Linked DNA regions of Drosophila melanogaster. The protein of the gene in region 1 interacts with the protein of each later gene in a pairwise test. Each region holds a gene or a part of one and is shown on either strand. Other genes may lie near its edges.

Region 1 (4,964 bases):
TGCCAACGGGTAAGCTAATTATGCTTATGTTATTATTATAATAATATTAAAACATCGAATCATAATCAAATTTGTTGCTTTTGAAAACAATTATTCGGATTAAATTTGCACATGGACAGAAAATCTTTCACATATCTTAATAGCCGATTGCAATAATTATTTAAAAAACATAAATTTGTAATTGAATCATAAACATCGCGATGTTGGCTATAAATTCAAACAAAGGCATGCATTAAATGCATTTAATTATTCGCCAACTGATGCATGGACAATTAAAATCATCTCAATTTGGAAACGGAGTAAAATAATTTCAACAATATTTGTTTGCATTGGCAAGAAAAATATTGACCAGCTTTCAGCATCCTTCGCATATTAATTTTTATGTAGCCGCAACACACTGCGTATGCTTATTATTAATTCAAGCATTGCCCATACGTCATGTTGTGCCAGAGGACAATACAAGAAAAGGCCGAATGCGTCGACAGCAATTCGATTTCAAGGTGATTTATTATTTAAATTTCATGTTCCGAAACAAGTCTGGGCAGCAACAAGAAGAAGCAAGGGTTGCTGGAAACTGGTAAACTCAATGGCACGTGCACTTGGAAAAACTGAATCAAAATAACATGTATTCCATATTCAACTATTTGATCCTTACACTTGTTATTTTGGCTATTACCTTTTATTATTATACCCACATCATTTGTGTGATATCTATGTAATCATTATACAATACGTATACTTCTCAACCGTTAAAGTTTTTCTCAAATTCATAGCTTACACAATATAAGAAAATGTTGGGATTCGGGATGTTCAAGGATGAAACTTTGGAGTTTCCGCCGTTGTTCGCATTAATTGCAAAAGACATTAAAACTTTATAGAGTCGTGCTTATCAGTTGGCCAACATCGTCAGCTGGAAGAGCTGCAATGTAGCGAATCCACCACCACTAGCACCGAAAAACTTTCGTCCTGATGGCCATGGCAAGCAGGACACCAAGAGCGGTTCAAAGGGATGTGATGATGCGGGGCGTCCAGTGGACGTGCAAGTGGCCCAAAGAGCCAAATCCTGGGTCGCACTGGGTGGATGGTGCGGCTAACAGCGATGGGGTGGTGGTTGCTTGGTTGGATGTGGCCAATGGCGTAATTTATGTAGGCCCGCTAAGCCTTTTCATGCGTAAAATGTGTTTATATCTGCGTATAAATACGCGTACAACTGTGACCACGTACGGGATTGTGTACTATATGTGCTTATTGGGGTGTAAGAGATATATGTATAGAGATACAACCAGGGGTAGCAAAATAATTTGCGGTCGAAACAAAAAATCTTCAATACTACAGGATATTCGTGATAATTATTACTAAGATCTTCAAGAGTAAAAGCACTTATTTCTATTAAGATCAACCCCATCGATTTGAGGTGAGGTAATAAAAGAACCGCATTACGGTGTCCATGTGCATTAAGCTGCAATAAAAGTGTAATTTTAAACCAATGATAACAAAACAACAACTACTGGATGTGCGGCAGCTGCTCTGCAACTGCGCTGCAACTGCGCTGCCTCTGCTGCTTTAAGCGCGTCATCAAAGAGACACACACACACATAGAAGAGAGATAAAGCCTTTGTGTGTGTGTGCGCTTGCATCGGTGATGCTGGTATTAGTGCAGCTTTGTTATTGCGCCAAAAACCAAGCCAAGGATTTTTCACACATTTACGCCAACAAATGGACTGCAGCTGCACTGGGCAAAAGGATAGTACATAAATTTGATATCTGCATTATTATACTCATTAATATCGGGAAAATAAATGTTAGGTTGCAATCCAATTCCGGGATTCTACTTCAACATTTTCAAATGTTGGGTTTATTTATAAGATAAGAAATTTATTGTTAAGAAACACATCAAAATCCCTATAAGTTATATGATTATATTTGAATGAGAGAAATACTACAAAAAAACTATGTTCATATGTAAGTAAAATGTAAATGGGAGCACTACAATCTGGCTAACAGTAAAAATAAATTTTAAAGGAATTATTGTTATGCTTTGAAGGAATTTTTAAAGAAATATCGGAAAGCAACGATTTTTCCCAGTGTCCTGTTTGCTCCTGGCTGCCTCGCTCTCTCTTTCTCTCCTACAGACGACCTTCACTTTCGTGGGACCGACCGTTATATATTTTGTGTGCCTAACGCTTTTTTAACGTGTTATGTTGTTTCTCTATTTTCGCTGGCCCGCTGGTCAAATTAATACCCTGAGTGGGTGGTGCGTGTGTGGAGAGGGGGGCTGAGGCGATTGTCGATTTAAATAGGCCAACTATGCAGAAAAAACAACTTGTTGTTGGGCTGCAGGCACGCCATAAGGTGCACTTAAAAAGCGTGTTTTAAAATGAGCTAACCGCATGGCAAGGATATGGGCGGTTTGAACTAGATGTGAATTTTCCACACTTATTTTCCCTCTGGTTTTCTGTTATTTTTTACGGCTGTTGTTGTTGCTGAGAGAACGAGCGCTACAGCAACAACAAAAACAACAACAACAACAACAGCAACATTCGCGGATACACACATTTTCACAAATCAAAAAAGCAAACGAATATTGCCACACAAACCCGTACACAGAGAAACACACTCCCACACACACACATACACACAAATGAACAAGAGAGACAGACAGGGAAAATCTCTCATTTTTTATGGATTTTCTGGGAAGGCAATCTGCTTTCGCTGATGTTTGATTAAACAATTGCTTTTTATACTCCTGTTGACTATCGTCCATCATCTGCCCGCATTTCGCTGGGAAATTGGGGAAAACTGTTTACACATACATACGCACGCCTTTCGTTTTATTGCATTTTACACTTCTCGCCTCTTACACTTTTCCCACCTCATCCGTTCCTCCTTTCGTTAGCCGCACATTTTCCGCACTACTGCGTGTACATTTTCCACGCTTTCGATCCGGGAAATTCGATGCTGGCCCCTGTCTGTTTTTGGAAAAACAATTTTTCTGACACTTTTTCAGCCTTTTCTGCACGCACGGGGGCCACAAAAAACTTGGCCCAAACTGCGTCCCGCTTTTTGCTCCGCTCGGCGTTTTCTTGGGGGCGTTCAGACAAACAGTTTTCGACAAACTGAAAGTGAAAAGTAAATGCAAAAGCGCCAGCGCCTCCGACAGTCGGTAGTTTCACTCGGAGCATGCGAGTCCGAACCCAAATCCGAACCAGAATCCGGGACAGCAGCGAGATGCTCACGGCGTCGGCGCACTTCGACGAGCAAGTGGTGGCCACTGGCCTCTGAAGACGATGCAGAATCGAAACAGATGTTCATGTTGCCTTCCGAATGAACTATGATCAAATATTTATGGCTAATACCACATATCAATGGATTCATATCAAGGATATCACAATTCAGTCGCAGTCGATAGCCATGCATTTTTCACAGGATCTATAGTTTATTAGCCCCTTACCTGTTACCCACACTTAGCAAACCTTTATACTGTTTTGAATCGAATATAATCGAAAAAGAAAGTTACTTGAAACCGAATTGTATCTCCAAAATGTATAGTTTAATTAATTATAGTTAATTTATAATTTATTTATAAAAACATGACCAAATCTTAATATTAATTTGGTTCACCCAGCGCACCCAAACATGATTTGCAATAAATATGTTTTATTTTTGATAATACAACATTACAAATATCACTGAATATCTATCAAGGACACGGCTTGTACACATGCTTATGGCAAAGTGCTTTCCAAGCCAAAAAATTCACTAAAGATTTGGCCCTGCAAACATTTTCCATTCCATAGTTTATGGGCCAATTGGGATAATTATGAATTTTTTTAGTTGAACGCACACATTCAAATCAAAAATAAAAATCTAAATTTAAAAAGAAAAATTTTCAACAATCTTCAGACCAACTGATTATTAGCAAAATCTTTTAAGGCCAGTTTTAGCCAATCTTCTTTGGAAGTGAAAATGGAAGCCTGGCCAGTTCTAATATTACTAGGCGAGTGAGGGATTTCGGAGTGATTTTCTATTTGGCGGCCGGAGCAGATCCTTCGCTCTGCTGAGAGTCATTAAACTGTTTGTGCCACTCGAGATTCATCTTTGTGACGGATTCTCCTTTCTTGGCGGCCTGCTTGCCACTGTACACCATAATGGCGCATCCCACGGCGGTGAGTGCGATCATTATGTTGGCCAGGCGGATGCGCATTTTGTTGCGGCAGCGCTCCATGACATCCTGACTGCAAGTTTTGACACCAAAACTTAGACACCTGTTGCATTTGCTCTCTAAGAATCGGCACTTACCTAACGAAATTGGGAATCTCGGACTGCGACTTGTATTTGCCGGTCCAAACCAACATACGGCGCTCCAGATTGTTTGGCTCGTGGTTCTTGATCGTCTCTCGCAACATCTGACTGGTGCCGAAGGATCTACGCACCAAGGCGCCAATTAACCCCGTTTTGCTTAGCATATTGCCTTTTTTAATCGTTTCACAAGTAATCTTGCAAAAGAGAATTGGAATTTTATGCAATTCGATTAACAGTGGTTGCTAACATAACAGAGCTGTCACACGGTCGATAACTGTGAAAACAGCTGGGATTTCTTTGGTCACCCTGAGAGACGTTCACACTGTACAATGAAGTGATTGAAAAAATGAACAACAAACTAAACTAAACTGGAAATTCTTTGTTAATCAGGTGAAATTTTGATGGTGCTAAAACTGCTGGAAAAAATAAATCTGATATTTAAAAATATATAGTAGGGAAAAATATTAGAAGTAAAGCAGTGTGACCATCTCTGAAATATGCTTAGTCGACCCAGCAACGGTCACTCTGCTATCCCCTTTAGTTTTCGTTTGCGGTGGAATAAAAGTCGGAAAAGTCAATTAAAAGCCGACTGCCACACGTCCAGAAAGCGAATTTGCGATCAAGGTCAAGATGAGCGAGTACACAAGCATTCTGCAGCGCGA
Region 2 (6,666 bases), on another chromosome or scaffold:
AATCAGAAAAACACAGGTTATAAAGATTTCCCACTATGTCGAAATCCGGAGAGTTTACATTCCGGCGTGCTCTAGCTGAAGATATTAAAGATGTGCTCTCCATGATTCAAGTTGAGTTTTATAAGATTCCTATTTTAATACCAATTTGAGATACTTTTGAATTGATCTGCAGGAACTGGCTGACTTTGAGAAGATGAGCAATGGTCCCCAGCTAACAGAGGAAGGTAAGAGATGGCGAAACCCTTACCATAGTAATGAAATAATGGTAAAGTAATGGATTGTAATATGACAGATCTTAAACGAGACGCAGGACTCACTGGTGGCCAGGAGTATTGTGAAGTCTATGTGCTTGTAGACAACGATACTGAGTAAGTGCTGTAGTTCTTGGCATGACCTGATTAACTTGTGGGCTTGTTCTCCTATTCTAGTCAGGCGATTGGGTACTCCATTTGCTACAAGGCATACTCAACGTGGCAGGGACGGTACTTCTTCGTCGAGGACATCTATGTCCGCCCCGAGCACCGTAAACGCGGCGCCGGAAAGCGAATCTTCTTGGAGGTTGCATCGCGGGCTGTAGAGCTTCAGTGCCCTCGCCTGGAGTTTAATGTACTGGAATGGAATCCTGCACGCAAGTTCTACGAAAGTCTTGGTGCCGTGGATTTGACAGATAAAGAGGGCTGGCACTACTACCGCGTGGAGGAGCAACAACTGGCCAAATTGGCCGCGGATCTGAGGGCAAAAAAATCTTAACTTGATTTGATTTTCAATTTTTACTACTTTATAGTAGGGCGATAAATAATTAATAATACTTGGCCATGGGCCATATGTGCTATGAGTACATTGCAATTAATTCGTTTGGCTTCTCATTGATCCCCCGCCACACTTGCGATGACATGGATCTGCATGCTCTTCGTGGAGTTGTAGACTTGACCGGGCGGAAAGGGATGCACCTTGGAGTGGCCATCGGTTTTACTTTTGCCACCGGCAGTATACTTGGATAATCGAATGCTGGGCATTGGTAGAAAGCCGGTGCTCAGCGGCATTACATCCAGCGATATGGAATGACTGTCGACGTCCTTCATGGATACGACACCTAAAAGGTTAAGTAAAAATTAGTTAGTCAACAAGTACAGACTGTTGGTTCATCGAAGTAAGCCAATTTTCTTTTTCAGTGTTAAATGTTTCCAATCAAAAGCAAGGGCAAATCTAGTTAGTGCTACGTGTGTCCTATTCCAAGGAACTTACCCATATCTTAAAATGCAAAAGTGAATCGTGTGTAGAGAAACAGAATTAAATCATAAGCAAAGAAAGAGAGAGAGTAGTAAAGAGAATCCAACTTACCCGCTGAGCGACCGCAAACGGCCCACAGATTCTGATCGTTGAGCACCTCGTACATGAGATCCGTGTAGGGATTCTCATGCACCTTGGTGATCTTCAAGTTCATGTTGCACACGGTGCGCAGACGGCACAGTTCATTGGGTTCCAGCTGCGCCTGCAACTTAAAGAGCGTTGTGTAGTCCACCAGATCAAAAGCGCAGCCATACGTTCTCCACACATCAGGCTGCGACAGTGATGCGTATTTGATTACAAAATGCACTTTTACGACGGGCAGCTCGTGCTCCGTTTTGAGGGGCTCAACTTGAATCTCGTACAGATAAGTTACAGTCAGGGATTTGTAGATTTCCTAGAAGACGAGCTCAGGAGATCAGCAATTTTAGATATTAAATTACATTGCTATTTAGTTACAATGGGCTGCTGGGATTCCGGATTAAGATCCAACAATTGCACACCGGGCACATCGCACTTGACTTGAGCGTGCTGCAAAAGGAGATGTGCTTCCATGCCCTTCATGATCACCTGCAGGAACTTCTGAGTGCCACACGTGTGAAGCCGGCAAGTGGCCTCCATGGCTGGTTGAAAATCGACGGCGATTGGGAGCTCAGTTCGAGACCATGGACAATTGAGGGCGATGTGATGCTCATGGTGTTTAGACACCTTTCGGCCCGGCATATCAGTGAGAACCTCCAGTGGGATCCTACGTTCCTCGAACGATTTGAATTGCACTAGTGGCACTTGAAGCGTACTCTCAAATGATTGGTCATCATTATAGGCTGCTTCATCATCCGTATTTCGCGCCTGTCGAATGCGAAGATTCTTGGAGCAACGCAGTGTGATTTTTGCATCGGGCGGAAAGATGAAACTGCCACCGGAGACATTTAGGCTAATCGGCTGCACTATGCCAGCTATCAGAGTCTTGAATTCCAGCGTGGCACTTGCCGGCTTGGTGCTAATCTCAAAGGTGGCAGGCATAAATGGCAGCTGTTCCGACAAGAACTCCAGGCTGGACATGCTAATACATAGCTTAAAAACAAAAACGATTGAAGATAGGCCAAGAAAACTGATGCAACGTGATCACCCACCTGTTTGAATTGCCAGCAGCCCACTCGAGTGGCCTTTGCCTTCATCTCAATTAGGTTTACGCCCGGCTGAAGGGCAATGTTTTCCGCTTGAACAAAATTGGTGAAGTCCGCCTGGACACTTGGTGAAAGTTTGCGCTTGGTGCTGCTTGTTCGTCGCACGGGTTGCTTGCTTTTTGGCAAGTCGCAGGCCACAGCGGCAGAGTGCAGGCGATTGTCCTGTTTGTAGACTAGCTGAAGCGAGACCTTTAATCGTGATGAGGTGTCCTTGGCCTTTACCGTCGACGGGGAGGCAGTTAGGCTGACATTCTCCATGGCCAGCTCCAGAGAGGAAGCTTCCAATTCGTAACAAAGCTTAACATTTTCAGCTACGACCCCGCGCGGATAGAGACTTTCTACTTTTAGCTGCACTAGAATATAATCATCCTGTATAATAGGTTTCTGGTTAACAACCTCGATGTCCAGAATGCGAAAGTGATCCTCCAGTACACAATAGTTGGCATTCTCTATCGACGGCTGTGCCGAAAGCGTCGTCTTAAGTGTTTTCAGTGACTTGAGAAACTCGTCGAAATAAAATGTTCGCACTAAGGTCTCTAGTTCTGCGCAACACGAGATGGAGCTACATGTCTTGGTGTAGGCCAGCGAGTCGCCCATCTTGCGGTAGCAGTTAGCTAGTTCAAGCAGCGTCTGCGAGCTCAGCATGTGCCAGTTCTCTGCCTTCAGCTCCCTGAGAAGATCCGTAAAGAATCCAACAGCTTTATGTGGCTCATTTAGAGCGCAGTAGAAGTTTCCCAGGTCCAGGCCAACCAAACGGGCCGATCGCAAGCGTGTCACATGCTTGTACGTACTGATGGCCAACTCTGCCAGCTCCAGGTAGAGCTTCTGGAAGGCTTGATTCGAGCCCAGGGCTTCCTTAAGCTGCTCAGCCCCCGATTTCTTGGGCTTACGATTGGGAGACCGGTCTCGTAGCTGAGGTGTCGCCTGGAGGAACTGATGCTGCTCGGACGGCGCATCTCCAATTCCCGACGATAGCTGCACCACTATGTGCAACTGCTCCGAAGTTGGCGTGCAGCCGGGCAAGAGGCCACACAGTTTGCCGAGCTCGTAGAGCTTATCCTTGGCCAAGTTCCAGATGGGAGCACAGTGCTGGAAACATGTTAGCTCGTTGGGTTCCATAGCCTGTTCGCACAGCTGCAGGACTTCCAGAGCACAAACAAACTCCCAACAGCAAAGAGCGCCCTCCTGACACTCCAGCTTTATGAGCTCCACCTCGCGCAGTGTGGAAAACAAAAAGTTCAGAAGCCTCTTCGCGATTTCTGGGATGTCATTGCAAGTAAGCAGCAAATAGGCTTGACGTTCGAAAAGATAGTTGCGGAATTCCAACAGAGAAACGCCTTCATCGCGGATTTTGTTCCTCATTTCGAACTTGTCCGCTCGGGTCAGACATATACCATGGAAAGCGTCCAGGGGCTTGCGAAAATGGTTCAACCACTGCTGCTTCTCGTTGAGACCAGTGTGAGTTATGAACTGCGAGAACATGGCGTCCAGTTCATCGTACTGTATCAACGCCTCGGTGGGCAATTCCAGCTTTTCAAAGATCAACGCAAGGTCTTCCTGCATAAAGAAGTATTGGCGGAAATCCCAGCCTTCAATGTTTCTCTTTTCGCGCTTGCTCCGTATTAGTTCCTCGTACTTAACTATGTTCCGATTGTAGCTGGTGAGCATAAGGAAGCGAATACGCTGCACTAGGCAGCGGAAGGACTCGGTGGATTTCTGTTCAAACTTGGCCGGGTTCAGAACTGAGATGCAGCGGTCGTCGTTCTTCGTGCCAAAATCCAACCGTATCTTATCTAGCACAGTGGTGCGTGGCATGAAGTTCTTTGTCTTCCGCATGTCCAGTGTTTCGACCAACAGAATCATCCAATCCGAGACGCCATAACTGGTTAATGTTTTTAACCAAATGTCGATTGCCTCCCTGATCGTGGCTTTGTAGGTGTCCACATCCTGAAAGATAGTTAATGGAGGTGGATTTAGAGATTCCTACAGGATCAGTTAACTCACATTGCACTCGGTGACGAAAATGTGCAGTATGGGGTGCTCCAAGATGCTCCAGTCACCCTGCTTGTACTTCTCCAAGGCCGCAACATTGAACTGCTGTGCCTGGGCTTCCAAGCGAACATGTTTCGTGGGGCGTTGGAAAGTGCGTCGCCACTCGCAAGTGTCCAGTGGAATCGCGTTCAGGATCTGGGACTCCAGCGATCGGAACAGCGGGCACGAGCCAGAGTCTGTAAGTAAAGGTTTGATATGGGATTTATTGTGTTAATTTTTTACAACTCACATGTTATTATGGGCTTTATCTGCATTGTTTTTGTAAATTTCGTATGTTTTTCATTTGGCAAACGAAAGCCACACAACAATCTCAACCAAACAGCTGATAAGGCGAGGGCGGGGGAATCGATTGTTCGTTGCTATCAATAATCGGTTGACCAATTTAAAAAATATTTTAATTCCTAATGCAATGAACCATTAAATGCTAGCCTAATACAAGAAATTAATAATCTAATTAAGCAGCTTTAACTATTCGCTCAACAGGTGTGCTTTCAGCAGCCCTGGTCAAGGGCGTAGAGAAAAAGTAGAAGGATATGCAGAATAAAATATGGTTAGATGAACCAAACTAAATGGTTTTTAATTGGTAGAGAAAGCCTTCTTTTATTAAAAAATATTAACAAAAAATGTTTTCACTTAAATTTGTTAAGGGGTATATGAGGGGTATATCCCTTTTGCACCACACCTCAGTTTTTTATGGCTTGGCTAAAAATCGATACCACCCACAGTCGCCTATCGAACAGCTGATAGTGAAATCAGATTCGGTAGCTAATTGAAAACGAAACAATGAAGAAATAATATTTGTTTTTCACACGCCACAAAGAGACACTTAAGAGAAACTTTCACTGAATGCGCGGCCAGGTCTCGACTGGAAATTAGCCAGCCCCAGCATGGACATGGCCAGGAGCATTTTTGGCCGCGACCATGAGGGTTACGTGGGCCGTGAAGAGCATACGGTGCGTCTAAATTGACCAGAAAAGATTGCTTATCATGGTAATTAATATTTATCGTTCCACTGCCAACAGCGCAAACTGCAGAACCTGGGCTCGGAAGACGATCTGGGAGAGCTGCCGCCTATGATGGAGGAACTAAGTGTGGCCGATGGCCTGCGACCAAATCCCGGTGGGCCATTCTCCGCTCTTACCGCCTCCATGTGGCCACAGGAAATCCTAGCCAAGCTGGGCGGTGGCGCGGAATTGGCTTCCGGCCCAAACGACCAGCCGGAGTACCGTTTTGACGAATTTGGCTTCCGGGTGGAGGAGGAGGACGGTCCGGAGCAGAGCTCCAACAAATTGCTGAGCATACCCTTTGTAGAGGACGCGCAGCAGCGATTGCAGTGGATCGCCCACCTGGAGTTCTCACACAACAAGGAGGCTGCCGAGCTGAGCTGGGAGCATGTGGATGTAATGCTCCCACGCACAGAAAAGCTGCGCAATATGGTCCGTCAGGGTATCCCGCACACGTTGCGTGCCCAGATGTGGATGCGTCTATCAGGAGCGTTGGCCAAGAAGCAAAAGAGCGAGACCAGCTACCACGATATAGTTAAAGGTAGATCGAACGCGACAAGAAAGGTTATAAATACATTATTAATATACACCTAATTTGATAGCTTCTAGCAATGACCAGCTGATGACTTCGAAGCAGATCGAGAAGGACCTTTTGCGCATCCTGCCAACAAATGCCTGCTTTAGCAATCCGAATGGGACAGGCATTCCCCGATTGCGCCGCATTCTGAGGGGCATCGCGTGGCTTTTTCCTGACATTGGCTACTGTCAGGGCACCGGAGTGATCGTTGCCTGTCTGCTTCTCTTCATGGAGGAGGAGAACGCCTTTTGGATGATGGCCACCATTGTAGAGGATCTGCTGCCAGCTTCCTACTACAGCTCAACTCTTCTGGGAATTCAAGCCGACCAACGCGTGATGCACACGCTTATTGCCAACTACCTGAGCAGCGTGGACGAGTCCTTGCGTAAGCACGACATCGAGCTGTCTTTAATCACGCTGCATTGGTTCCTCACGCTTTTTGCCAACGTGGTGCATATGAAGATTCTTGTGCGTATCTGGGACTGGTTCTTTTACGAGGGCTCCATCGTGCTGTTCCAGTTGACTCTGGGCATGCTCAAGGTGAAGGAGCAAGATCTAA

The links.
Region 2: the proteins of Shal (region 1) and SIDL interact in a two-hybrid assay, tested with the Drosophila melanogaster proteins (one study listed by BioGRID).

Annotation. Positions count from the first base shown.
Region 1 is NT_037436.4:19,581,450-19,586,413, forward strand, and holds the start of Shal (shaker cognate l), read right to left. Parts: upstream 3,120-4,964; 5' UTR 2,873-3,119; exon of another isoform or gene 2,862-2,872; intron 1-2,861. Other genes in the region: CG9231 (uncharacterized protein), read right to left, coding at 4,025-4,235, 4,300-4,466; CG9330 (uncharacterized protein), read left to right, coding at 4,933-4,964. UniProt on the Drosophila melanogaster protein: Mediates the voltage-dependent potassium ion permeability of excitable membranes.
Region 2 is NT_033777.3:15,213,998-15,220,663, forward strand, and holds SIDL (shal interactor of Di-Leucine motif), read right to left. Parts: upstream 4,878-6,666; 5' UTR 4,781-4,877; coding exon 4,756-4,780; intron 4,703-4,755; coding exon 4,479-4,702; intron 4,422-4,478; coding exon 2,421-4,421; intron 2,362-2,420; coding exon 1,747-2,361; intron 1,685-1,746; coding exon 1,342-1,684; intron 1,094-1,341; coding exon 864-1,093; 3' UTR 765-863; downstream 1-764. Other genes in the region: CG4210 (uncharacterized protein), read left to right, coding at 36-110, 173-224, 293-368, 429-750; CG12241 (uncharacterized protein), read left to right, coding at 5,414-5,479, 5,549-6,071, 6,133-6,666. UniProt on the Drosophila melanogaster protein: May play a role in vesicular transport from endoplasmic reticulum to Golgi. Has a role in one of the several mechanisms underlying dendritic localization of Shal channels.